Caenorhabditis elegans: one gene and its partner. The protein of the gene in region 1 interacts with the protein of each later gene in a pairwise test. Each region holds a gene or a part of one and is shown on either strand. Other genes may lie near its edges.

Evidence for each region. The genes of interacting proteins can lie anywhere in the genome.
Region 2: the proteins of Y48E1B.3 (region 1) and fnta-1 interact in a two-hybrid assay, tested with the Caenorhabditis elegans proteins (one large-scale study listed by BioGRID).

What each region holds. Positions count from the first base shown.
Region 1 is NC_003280.10:13,564,347-13,570,281, forward strand, and holds the start of Y48E1B.3 (Geranylgeranyl transferase type I subunit beta), read right to left. Parts: upstream 3,626-5,935; 5' UTR 3,621-3,625; coding exon of another isoform or gene 3,572-3,620; intron 3,518-3,571; coding exon of another isoform or gene 3,406-3,517; intron 442-3,405; coding exon of another isoform or gene 320-441; 5' UTR 194-319; coding exon 18-193; intron 1-17. Other genes in the region: mrpl-37 (Large ribosomal subunit protein mL37), read right to left, coding at 3,871-3,995, 5,001-5,124.
Region 2 is NC_003282.8:236,562-242,055, forward strand, and holds fnta-1 (Protein farnesyltransferase/geranylgeranyltransferase type-1 subunit alpha), read right to left. Parts: upstream 3,747-5,494; 5' UTR 3,738-3,746; coding exon 3,614-3,737; intron 3,563-3,613; coding exon 3,058-3,562; intron 1,903-3,057; coding exon 1,659-1,902; intron 1,515-1,658; coding exon 1,401-1,514; 3' UTR 1,030-1,400; downstream 1-1,029. Other genes in the region: ints-13 (Protein asunder), read right to left, coding at 24-228, 454-889; cogc-8 (Conserved oligomeric Golgi complex subunit 8), read left to right, coding at 4,028-4,091, 4,138-4,262, 4,313-4,483, 4,535-4,645, 4,695-4,898, 4,952-5,062, 5,146-5,264, 5,393-5,494.

The sequences.
Region 1 (5,935 bases):
TTTTTCAGTCCGATTACCTCCAAAAATTCTGCAAATTATACTGTGGAATCCATCGGGTCTTTCCATCGGGCCTAGGCGTCGTCCAGTCCTCGAGTAGGCCTCCAAAGCCTCGTTGGCCAAAAGTATGCTGTCCAAAGTCACGGGAAACGGGTTCACAATAGAGTGCGGGGGCGGCGTGGTGGTGGGAAGACATTTTTGAACGGGAAATTATGGAAATTTGTGAAAAAAAAATGGGAAAAAAATCGGGAAAAAGGGGAAAAAAAGATTTTTAACAAGAAAAATGCGTTCAACTCCTAGAAATTTTGCGTGGGTGGGGTACCGTTTGTAAACTGAAGTCCGTAAATCCAATCGATATACGCCTGACGGCGTTCCGGAGTCAGGAGATTGTCGAGCTCGCCGAGCAAATCCAGTGAAGAGATTGCGAATAGGAAGATTGTGTTTCTGGAAAAAATTTGAATTTTTTTTGTGAAATTTTTGAGAAATTTTGGGAGAAAATTGAGCATTTTTAGCTTGAAAAATCTCAAAATTTCAATTGTTTAAAGCTGTTTTTTGGCATTTTTCTAGAATTTTCTCGGAAGAAAATTGCCCATTTTTAGCTTGAAAATTGTAATTTTAAATTAATTTTGTGAAAAATCCGGGAATTTCAGTTTAATTTTGAGACATTTTGGGAGAAAATTGAGCATTTTTAGCTCAAAAATCTCAAAATTTCAACTTTTCTAGTTTTTTCAACTAATTTTTTAAAATAGTTTGAAAAATTGAAGAAAAAAAAATCGCATTTTTTGAAAATTGTTTTTTTTTTCGATTTTTCAAACTATTTCTGGAGAAAAAGCCTTCAGAACTGTGTTATTACACATTCGTGAAAAAATTCTCCCTAATAAAAATTTCCACGAATGTGTAATAATTTTTAAGCAATTTTTCAACAAAAAAAAACCATCAGAATTGTGTTATTACACATTCGTGGAAAAATTTCCACGAATGTGTAATAAGGTTTTTGCAATTTTTCAAGCCATTTTCTGCCAATTTTGAACGGTTATTTTCAAAATTTTGACAATTTTCTAGTTTTTTCTGGGAGTTAAAAAAAAAGATGGGAATTTCCAATTTTTTTTTTTTAAATCCCAGAGAATTGAATTTTTAGAGGTATCTTTCGACATTTTTCTAAATTTTTAGAACTAATTTCACAATTTTATTTGAAAAAAAAAAACTTTTTCTCAATTTTTTGAATTTTAATTTTTTAAAAGCTGTTCTCTTTAAACTTTTTAACAAGAAAAAATCGAAAAAAATTGGATTTTTAATTTTAAAAAATTGGAAAATCAATATTTTCTAATTTTTTTCCATTTTTCCATCAAAATTTCGCATTTTTTTTCAAATTTTCCTAATTAAATTTTTTTTTTCTAAATTTTCCATATTCCAATCGATTTTTATATGTAAAAATTGACTTTATACGGTTTTTTTCTCAATAAAATTGAATTTAAAAAATATATATAGCTTAAAATTGGATGTTTAATTTAAAAAAACTGAAAAATCAATATTTTCTAATTTTTGAATTTTTCCATCAAAATTTCGCAATTTTTTTTAATTTAGGGGAAAAATTGGTGTTTTTTGGGGGAATTTTAGGGGAAAATATCGGAGTTTTTGTGAAACTTTTTTGAGAAAACTGGGAGTCAATCGAGCATTTTTAGCTTGAAATTTGTAATTTTAAATTAATTTTGTGAAAAATATGAAAAAAAAAAAAACATTTTCGAATTTTTCAGAGTAGTTTAGGGTCATTTTCATAGAATTTTTTGAAATTTTTTAAATTAAAATCAGAGGAAATTGGTGAAAAATTTTTTTTTCCAATTTTTTAAAGATAATTTTAGAAAAAAAAATGGAATTTTTCAATTAAAATAGTGATTTCCTGAAAATTTGATAATTTTAGATTAGAAAAGTTGGAGAAAATAATTTTTTTTAGGATTTTATTCAGTCAAAATTAAAAAAAAAACGTACAATTCTGAACTATTGTGTTTTTTTTTTGGAATAAACTTTGAATTTCTACGAAAATTGTAATTTTAAATTAATTTTTTTTTTTTGGAATTTTCAGAGCGCTAATTTTACTATTTTATTAGCAAATTTTCCCAATTTTTGAAATTTTTTGAAAAATTTAATTTTCAACTCTAAAAAATTGAAAAATTAGTAGATTTTCTAATTTTTTAACAATAGCAGACAATTTTTTCAACAAAAAAAATTCAAATTTCAGAAATAATTATTTTTCCGCAATTTTTCAAATTCCAAACAGTTTTTTATACGTAAAAAATGATTTTTCGTTAACGAGATTAATATTTTTTGATATTAAAAGTTGAAAAATTAGCCAAAAATTTGAAGGTTTTTACAATTTTTTGCTTAAAAATTCGACTTTTAACTATAAAGAACTGAAAAATCAATAATTCCAAATGTTTTGAATTTCCGAAATTTCAGAAATCATTTTTTTTTCTAATGTGTGTTTAAATTTCAATCGGTTTTTTTTCTCAAGAAAATTGAATTTTTTGCCACAATTTCACAAATTTCCAGCCAAAATATATCTTAAAAATTGAAATTTTAACTTAAAAAAGAATTAAAAAATTAATATTTTCTAATTTTTTGAATTTTTCCATCTGCGGGGAATTTTTTTTTAAATTTTAATTCAAACTTTTTAAAAATTGGGCGAAAAATTGCCAGTTTTTAGCTTTGAAAAAATTGTAATTTTAAATTAATTTTGTGAAAAATCCGGAGAATCCAATTTTTAGAAGTATTTTTCGAATTTTAGGTTAATTTTTTAGTAGGTTTCAACAATTCTATAGCGCGTAAAAATTGGATTTTTAGTCTTAAAAAATTCAAAAGTTCAAAAATCAATATTTTCTGATTTTTTGAACTTTTTTATAGATTTTGTGAATTTTCCGAAATAGCTTTTTTTCTAAATTTTCTATATTCCAATCGATTTTTTAAAAGCTGTTTTCTTAAACTTTTTAACAAGAAAAAATCGAAAAAAATTGGATTTTTAATTTTAAAAAAACTGAAAAATCAATATTTTCTAATTTTTGAATTTTTCCATCAAAATTTCGCAAATTTTTTATAGATTTTGTGAATTTTCCGAAATAGTTTTTTTGTTATTACACGTTTTTTTTTAATTTTCCATATTCCAATCGATTTTTATATGTAAAAATTGACTTTATACGGTTTTTTTCTCAATAAAATTGAATTTTTTAAAAACAATTTCACAAATTTTCAGCCAAAAAATAGCTTAAAATTGGATTTTTAATTTAAAAAAAAAATGAAAAATCAATATTTTCTAATTTTTGAATTTTTCCATAAAAATTTCGCAATTTTTTCAAATTTCTGGAATTTTAACTGGAATTTTATCAATTTTCTTCAATTTTTTTCTAATCTCCTCACCGACTAGTCTCCAACGTATTATACGGCTGTGGGAATACGTTCAAGTGTCGAATCAAAAAACCAATGTGCTTCTTAAATTCAAAAGTCTGTGTCTGATCTCCTGATTCGGCGGCTGAAAATACGGAAATTCAACGGGGGCCAAAAGCTTAAAAATCCAAAAAAAAACCTTTTCGTGCAAATTCTAGCAATTGATCTTCCGTGCTGATATCGCACATTTAGGCTGAAAATTTTGGGCATTTTTCGGGGGGAAAAGCTGGGAAAAACTGGAAAATTAGGTAGAAAATTGGCTAAAAACCAATAATTTCGAGGAAAAAATCACAAAAAATCATTAAAAAATCAATACAATTTCAAAAAAAAATCCGAGAAAAAAACAACCAAAAAAACAATGAAAAACAGTAGCTACCTATTAAAAAATTGAAAAAAAAATCAAAATTTCTTTGAAAAAAAAAGGATTTAGAGCCCGTGTCAATGAGCATGTGGTGCTCCAAATCCGAGCATCAAGGCGACAAATTTGTGAAAAACGGTCATATCGAGCTTCTCCACAGTGTCCATTTGCTCATAGTAGGGCGTTGGCTTGTAGAGACGGAGACCTGCAAGAGAAAATTGGTGTTTTTGGGAAAAAATTGGGGTTTTTAGGGGAATTTTAGGGTAAAAATTGGGGTTTTTAGAGGGAATTTTGGGGAGAAAAATGGATTTTTAGGGGAATTTTAGGGGAAAATATCGGGGTTTTTTAGAGGAAATTCAGGGTAAAAATTGGGTTTTTTATAGGGAATTTTAGGTAAAAAATTGGTGTTTTTTGGGGGAATTTTATGTGAAAAATGGGTATTTTCAGGGGAATTTTAAAGTAAAAATTGTATTTTTTATAGGGAATTTTAGGGGAAAAATTGGTGTTTTTTAGGGGAATTTTAGGGTAAAAATTGAGTTTTTTGGAGATTTTTAGGGGAATTTTAAGGTAAAAATTTGGGGGTTTACAGGGGGGAATTTTGAGGGAATTTTATGTGAAAAATGGGTATTTTCAGGGGAAATTGAGCGAAAAATTGGATTTTTTATGGGAATTTTAGGGTAAAAATTGGGGTTTTTAGAGGGAATTTTGGGGAAAAAAATGGGTTTTTTAGGGGAATTTTAGGGTAAAAATTAGGGTTTTTTGGGGGAATTTTAAGGTAAAAAATTGGGTTTTTTAAAAGGAATATTTTAAGGGAAAAACTGGATTTTTAGAGGGATTTTTAAGGAAAAAATTGGATTTTTTGGGGGAATTTTAGGGTAAAAATTGGGGTTTTTAGAGGGAATTTTGGGGAGAAAAATTAATTTTTTAGGGGAATTTTAGGGGAAAATATCGGGGTTTTTTAGAGGAAATTCAGGGTAAAAATTGAATTTTTTGGAACATTTTTTGGTCATTTTTCTGATCCGGAGAAAAATATGAAGAAATTCAGAGCTTTTTTTTTCAATTTTAAATTTAAACTTTAAAAATTGAAAAAAATTTTAGTTATTACACATTCGTGGAATTTTTTGGGAGAAAATTTCCACGGATGTGTAATAACAAAAAATTGGATTTTATGGGATTTTTTCCCTTTTTGTTTTTTTTTGTAAAAACCAACCCTTCTCGATCCACACAATATTCTTTTCGTCATTATTTCCAGCTTCTGATGTTGGTTTCAGTGTGTTAAGCTGCATGGCAACCAAATCAAGACGTCCGTTCACCAATTGTACTCCACGGACAAGCTAAAAATTAGGAAATTTTTGGGAAAAACCCAGTAATTTTTTGAGAAATTTTAAAATTCAAGTTTTGTCAGAAATGTGTGGGTTTTTATTAAATTAAAATAAAATTTAATTTTAATAAAAACATTTTTTAATAAATCTGAAATTTTCGTGTTTTTTTTTTCAATTTTTTTTTTCGTAAAAATTGAAAAATTGAAAAACACCGGAAAATCTGAAATTTCCGGGGTTTCTGAGTCTTTTATTCTATTTTTTTACAGCAAAACAAACAAAAAAAATCCGTATTTTTTTCCGGATTTTTTTTTTCGTAAAAAACTGAAATTTTCAAAATTTTCGTTTTTTTTCCCCGAATTTTGTAGGGAAAAAACAACGGAAAAATTGATGAGCAATTCTGTTTTTTTTTTCGGAAAACACACCGAAAAATCTAAAATTTTTGTGTTTTCCGGTTTTTTTTTTCGGAAAATTTACGGAAAAACGCTGAAAATTAGAAATTTTCTTGTTTTTTCTGGTTTTATTTCGATTTTTTGATGAAAAACTCGGAAACATCGTGAAAATTAAAAAATTTCAGAGTTTTCCGGGTTTTTATCTGTTTTTAGTTTCGAAAAAATTCAGGAGAAAATTCGAAACATTTTCGCTTTCAATTTTTAATTTTTTTCGATTTTTCTGAAATTTTCTCAACAAAAAAAACACCTTTTTCAGCTCAAAATGTACATTTTTTCACACAATTTTCTCCGAAATTCCACCGGTTTCTTTAGGTTTTTTTCAATTTTTTTATGCGGAAAAAATTGAAAAATCTGGAATCTTTTAGGTTTTTTCA
Region 2 (5,494 bases), on another chromosome or scaffold:
CGATTTTATAATCAAAATATTACGTTTTATTTGAAGGAGCGTCGGCGATTTTGTTGCGTGACACAACTAACTCGACAATCTCCGTCTGTAATTGTTCCATTTCCTCTTGAGTATTCAACCGGGTGTACATAATCAAATTTCCGGCGTTTTGAACAGTTGGAAGTGGTGGAAGACCTCTGAGTTCTCGTGTCACGCGTATTACTTCCGAGTTTTGAGCTGTACGTTTGTCTGGAAATTTTCAGAATAAGGTAGATTTCTAACGGAAAATGCGGGTTTTCAGTGATTTTTCAAGATTTTTTTAAATCATTTTTCGATAGTTTTTCTACGTAAAAAAGGCTTGAAAACCATAGATTTCGTGTAAAACTAGTGTAAAACCTTTTTTTTAAAGATTTCCAGATGATCATAATTACGATTTTGGATAAAATAATTAATGTTTCAAAAGGAAATACTCACTTGCACTATATCGTACATCATAATTATAATTTCTCTGTTCAGGCGACTGCACAGCCAACGCTTCAATGGCCATAGTCAATCCACCAATTGGTGTAATATCAGTATTAGCCTCACTCGGGCGGCTCACAGTCTCAATGAGTTCTCCGAGCTCTTCTCGAGTCAAAAATCCGTCCGTCCACTGCGTATCCAACATCTTTCCCATGAAGTCCGCCAGGGCAAATCGAAGCTGTAGAGTGCCACGTGGATAGACGTCACTCAGAATTCTGTGCATTTCGAAGATTCCCTCAAGGCACCACGTCCAAATGGTTTTTTCGAATTGAAGTTTCTTCTGTTTTGGGCCTTCTCGAATTGTGACATCGAACGTTTCGTTACAGTTTTCCACGAATTTCGCGCTCCGATCCAGCAGAAAAACGGTTTTCATATCCCGTTGTTCCATCTTAATAATTTTATTTTTAAGAAATTTAGAATCGATTTTTTTTGAAGAATAAACAACGCTTTTCCCGAGAAAAATTAAATTCTGTCAGGGGTTCTTGTATCATCGAAATTTAAATTTGGAAAAGAAGAATAAATTTTTAATATTTCTCTCAGAAACAAAGAAAACTGGTAGCCGAAATGATGAATAAACAGTTGATTTCGAAATATTTCAATTATTTGCAATAATTCAAGAAAAAAAATTCAAAATCTACAGTACTCCAAACTTAAAGGCGCATGAAAGATATCGGAGTGCCGCTGTGCCTCGGAAATTTCCATTTTCTCTTGCCTTTCAACTAAAAAACGTGACAAAAGGTATAAAAATTAAGAATAAACTATAAAAAAAGCATCATTGAATAATAATTTAAAAAAAAATTTTTTAAATAAATAAGTAGGACGGCAAATTGTGGGAAATCATTGGGATATACTTACACAAAAACATATAAATACAAAAAAAACGTGGAATTCAGAAAGAATTACTTGGCAGTGACCTTCGTCTGTGCCTTGATGAGCATCGTTTGAGCAAGAAGACTCTGATGGCGGTAGTAGTTGACTCGAACCGGGTCGATCGATTGAAGATCCTTGTAGAGCTGGAAATTTCGGGAATTTGAGGCGTTTAGAGCGCAAATTCATTTAAAGCGAAAATGTGCACTTTTAATTAAAAAAAAGGAAATTTTTAGTTAAAAATTCTCCAATGTTATCCCATTTCTCATGAACTTTCTAGACTTACAAACCTTTTTAGCGCGCCCAGCGCTTTCTTCCGCAGACTTTTGGTTTTCAATATTTTCGAGCATCATATCGGCGATAAATGCAAGAAGGAATGGTGACCGTTTCTCTTCAGGAGTTGTCTCATACAAATCCTCCACAAAACTGACAACATCACTGTTCGAGGTTACTCCATTTGTGATGAGAAGCCCTGCGAGGTAGTTCCAGGCACTTTCGTTGTTCGGAATATTCTCAATGAACTTCTTGGCGAGGCTAGAAAAATTGAGAGGTTTTGTGTTCAAGTTTAATGGAAGATGTGCAACAACTATTTAGCCTCAAACAAACTCTTAGCCTCAACCAAACTCTTACAAGGAAAGGAAGTCAATCTATCTATGCTCCAGTGCATTTTTTCGCTGACTTCTATATCAAGTAAATGGCCTCAAAAGGGGTTCTGAGAGATTAGAAATTGTTTTTGGGGGTTTTTAGGGTCTAACAAACAATGTGGGAGCTTTTTGGAAATTTTTATTTTTTTGAAAAAAATCTGAAATTTTTTCGATCCATTGGACACCAAATTTTTGGTCAAAAATTTTTTTTTTTGAAAAAATTCCAAAACTATTTTTTTGTATCCGGGCATGCAAAAAGCTACATATTTCTTCGAATTGAGCCTTTTTACAATTTTTTACAATTTTTTACAAAGGGCCCGATTGCAGTTTTTAAAAGTTGAAGAAAAAAATTATTTCCACTGAAAGAATCGAACACGAGACCTTTATTTTATTATTCCAAGCGTTTACCATTCGGCCATCAACCGTTGTTTTTTATTGTTTTCCATGTTTGTAACCATTTCATAATGATTGAAAATCATTTTTTGTATAAGTAAAATGAATAAGTACGAAATAGTATTGAAAACTAGGAGGGCGCAGAGAAAAATTTTCAGATGGCGATTTCAGGGGTTCAGAGTTGAGTTCCGCCGCTGAAATTTTTGTGGTGATCTAGTCTAAACATAAGCTTTCAAATGACATACGTCTCAATTTAAAGTCCGATACTAGATTGACTTCCTTTCCTTGTTAGCCTCAACCAAACTCTTCAGCCTCAACCAAATTCTTAGCCTCAACCAAACGCTTAGCCTCAACCAAATTCTTAGCCTCAACCAAACTCTTAGCCTCAACCAAACTCTTAGCCTCACCCAAACTCTTCAGCCTCAACCAAAAATTTTTACTTTCAAAGTTATCTTCATGTTTGATTAATCAAATATTTGGACAGTTTTCAATTTTTAGGTAGTTTTCATCACTAAAAATCAGAAATTGAGAAGAATATTCTGGAATTTTCGGAGATTTTTAGTTTCTGAATCGCTTTCTACATCAGATAGATGTTTCTCCACTAAAAACGCTAATCGTGAACAAAAAATTGATCGCTGTTATATTTCCTTACTTGATCTCAATGTCAAGCTGGCTCGCATCCTCCGTCTTATCGTAGAGAGTCATCAGAAAATAGCGATAATTATACGCCGAATTGTTGCGATTATCGAGAAGAAGCATGTGAAGAGCAAATGTGAGCTCTTTCTCCAGTGGAACCTTGAAAGTCCGTACAACCCATTGACGGTGCTGCCACGCGTGATAGTTTTTGTTCTCGTCGCGGATGACTTCCGAGCAAAAATGAAGCTCATCGTTCACCGCACTTTCTCCAATCGTTTCGACGATGAAGCGACGGTGATGCCAGACTTGATAGTTTTTCGGTGATTCTTGAATAATATCGCTGAGATACCGCATCTCCTTCTTCAAATCCCATCCCAACTCGGTGAGACACACGCGGCGATACTGCCAAACTGTGTAATTCGCTGGATTAAGTCTAATGCAATCCTCGAGAAGTGCCATCACTCGATCCGACTTCTCGTTTTTTATTAGAATTGCACGGAAGTAGGCGAAAGCATCGGTGACTGCAAAATTAAAATTTGAATAATTATTAATTTGATCTCAAAATTTCTTACAGTCTTCCGTAACAGCGATCTTAACAGCAACTTCTTCCTCCTTACTCGGGTAGATCGGCGTAATATCCTTCCAATCTACGTTATCTTTGTAGAGAGTTGAAGATGGAATATCGCTGTCCGACATTTTCTCCGCCTGCAAGCTTATTTTTCGTTAATATTGGATTTTGAAGGGGAAAACATTAAATTTTGAATTTTTTCTAAATATTTTTCAATAAAAATTGAGCTGGAAACTGGAAAAAACGTCTTAAATGCTCGAACAACTCGGAAAAGAAAAAAAATGGATTTAAAGTTAAACGGTGCAAAGTGTCGTAATTTCCTGCGCACTCTCCGCAAACACTCCGGCTCTCATGTGGATTTACGGGCAGCCAACGCGATTTCTTTCTTATCGCCGATTTGCCTTTACTGTAGGAAATCATGGATTCTGATTATATATTTCATAATGGAGATGATATTCGCAATATGGGACTTGAAGAAATGCGTAAGTAATCTGCAATAATGTGAAAATTCATCGAAAAATCGTTCAGGACGTCAAAAGGTGCTGCTGGCCAGCGAGCTGAAGGCGATTGACGCCCAGATTAGTGATTTAGCATTCAATAATTATGGAACATATGCAGACGCTGGAAGAGCCACTCACGATTGCTCGAAAACTGTAATTTCACGAAAAAATCTATTTAAAGTCTAAACCCTAAATAATTTCAGTTCGGAGAAATGCGCGATAAAACTGTAAATCTGTCGGATCAAGCAGAGGAGTTGACTTCTGCGTTTGTAGAGTTTAGAGCAAAAGCTAAACAGCTTTCTGAAGAGCAGGATCTTGTCAGAAAAGCACTGGACAAGTCAAATCCGATCTGGGAGCTTTTGACGCTACCCTCGGTAATTCTACATCTACTTTTCTTTTTTCTTTGTAATTTTAAAACATTTTAGCGCATGGACATTTGCATTCGTGCAGGATACTATGATCTGGCTTACACATTGACCAATTATGGCTTGCAACTTCAACAACAGACTCAACTCTACCGGAATCCGCTGATAAAAGTCTGAAATCCCCAGGAAAACCTGTTAAAAACGTAAAAAATAATTCTAGAAAGTCGCGGACCACCTAGTCGAAGCTCGTGCTTATCTTTTGGAGGAACTTTTCAACAAATTCGCTGGGCCACTGGATCTTGCAGAATCCATCAAAGTTGTGAATAACGTTCGAAAGATGCCCTCATTGACAGCGAATCAGCTGAGAATCGCCGTTCTTCAGCACCGGGATATTTATCTGGAAAAACAGATTTTAGATATTTCAGTGAGAAATGCCAATCACAACATATTTAATACAATTTATTTCGTTTTTTTCAGGGAAATGTTGACATGATTGTGCAGGCGATCGAGATCTACCGTACCAGTATGTACGACACTCTCGTGCTTTATCTTGCAGTGTTTCCGGAAAACGAAGTTGTTCGAAAAAATGTAAGGGAATCAAATCGAAAAAATTTTGAGCAAAAAACAATAGCCAAGAATAATAAAACAATTTTATTTCACTTTTTTTTCAGCCGAATGCTGATCCGAGATGGGAATCATGGCCAGTTCTGCCACCAAACTCGATTCTGTCACAATGGGTTATTTCGAATGTCAAGAAAATGTTGGATCTTATCACAAAGGCGGATGTTAAGTGAGGATTTTCTCCAATTTCTGAGATTCTCCATAAATCTTGGCTGGAAAATCCACTAAAACTTTAGAAATTCCGGAGAAAATCACCAATTAAAAATTAAAAATTAAAAAAAATGTGCTTAATTTCAGATCAGCCGTCGATCTGTCAGCAGTGTGGACAAAACTAATGGCAATGGCATCATCTTTCGGAAGAATGGGCATCGATTTCCGACCACTGATCGCCGGAAAACT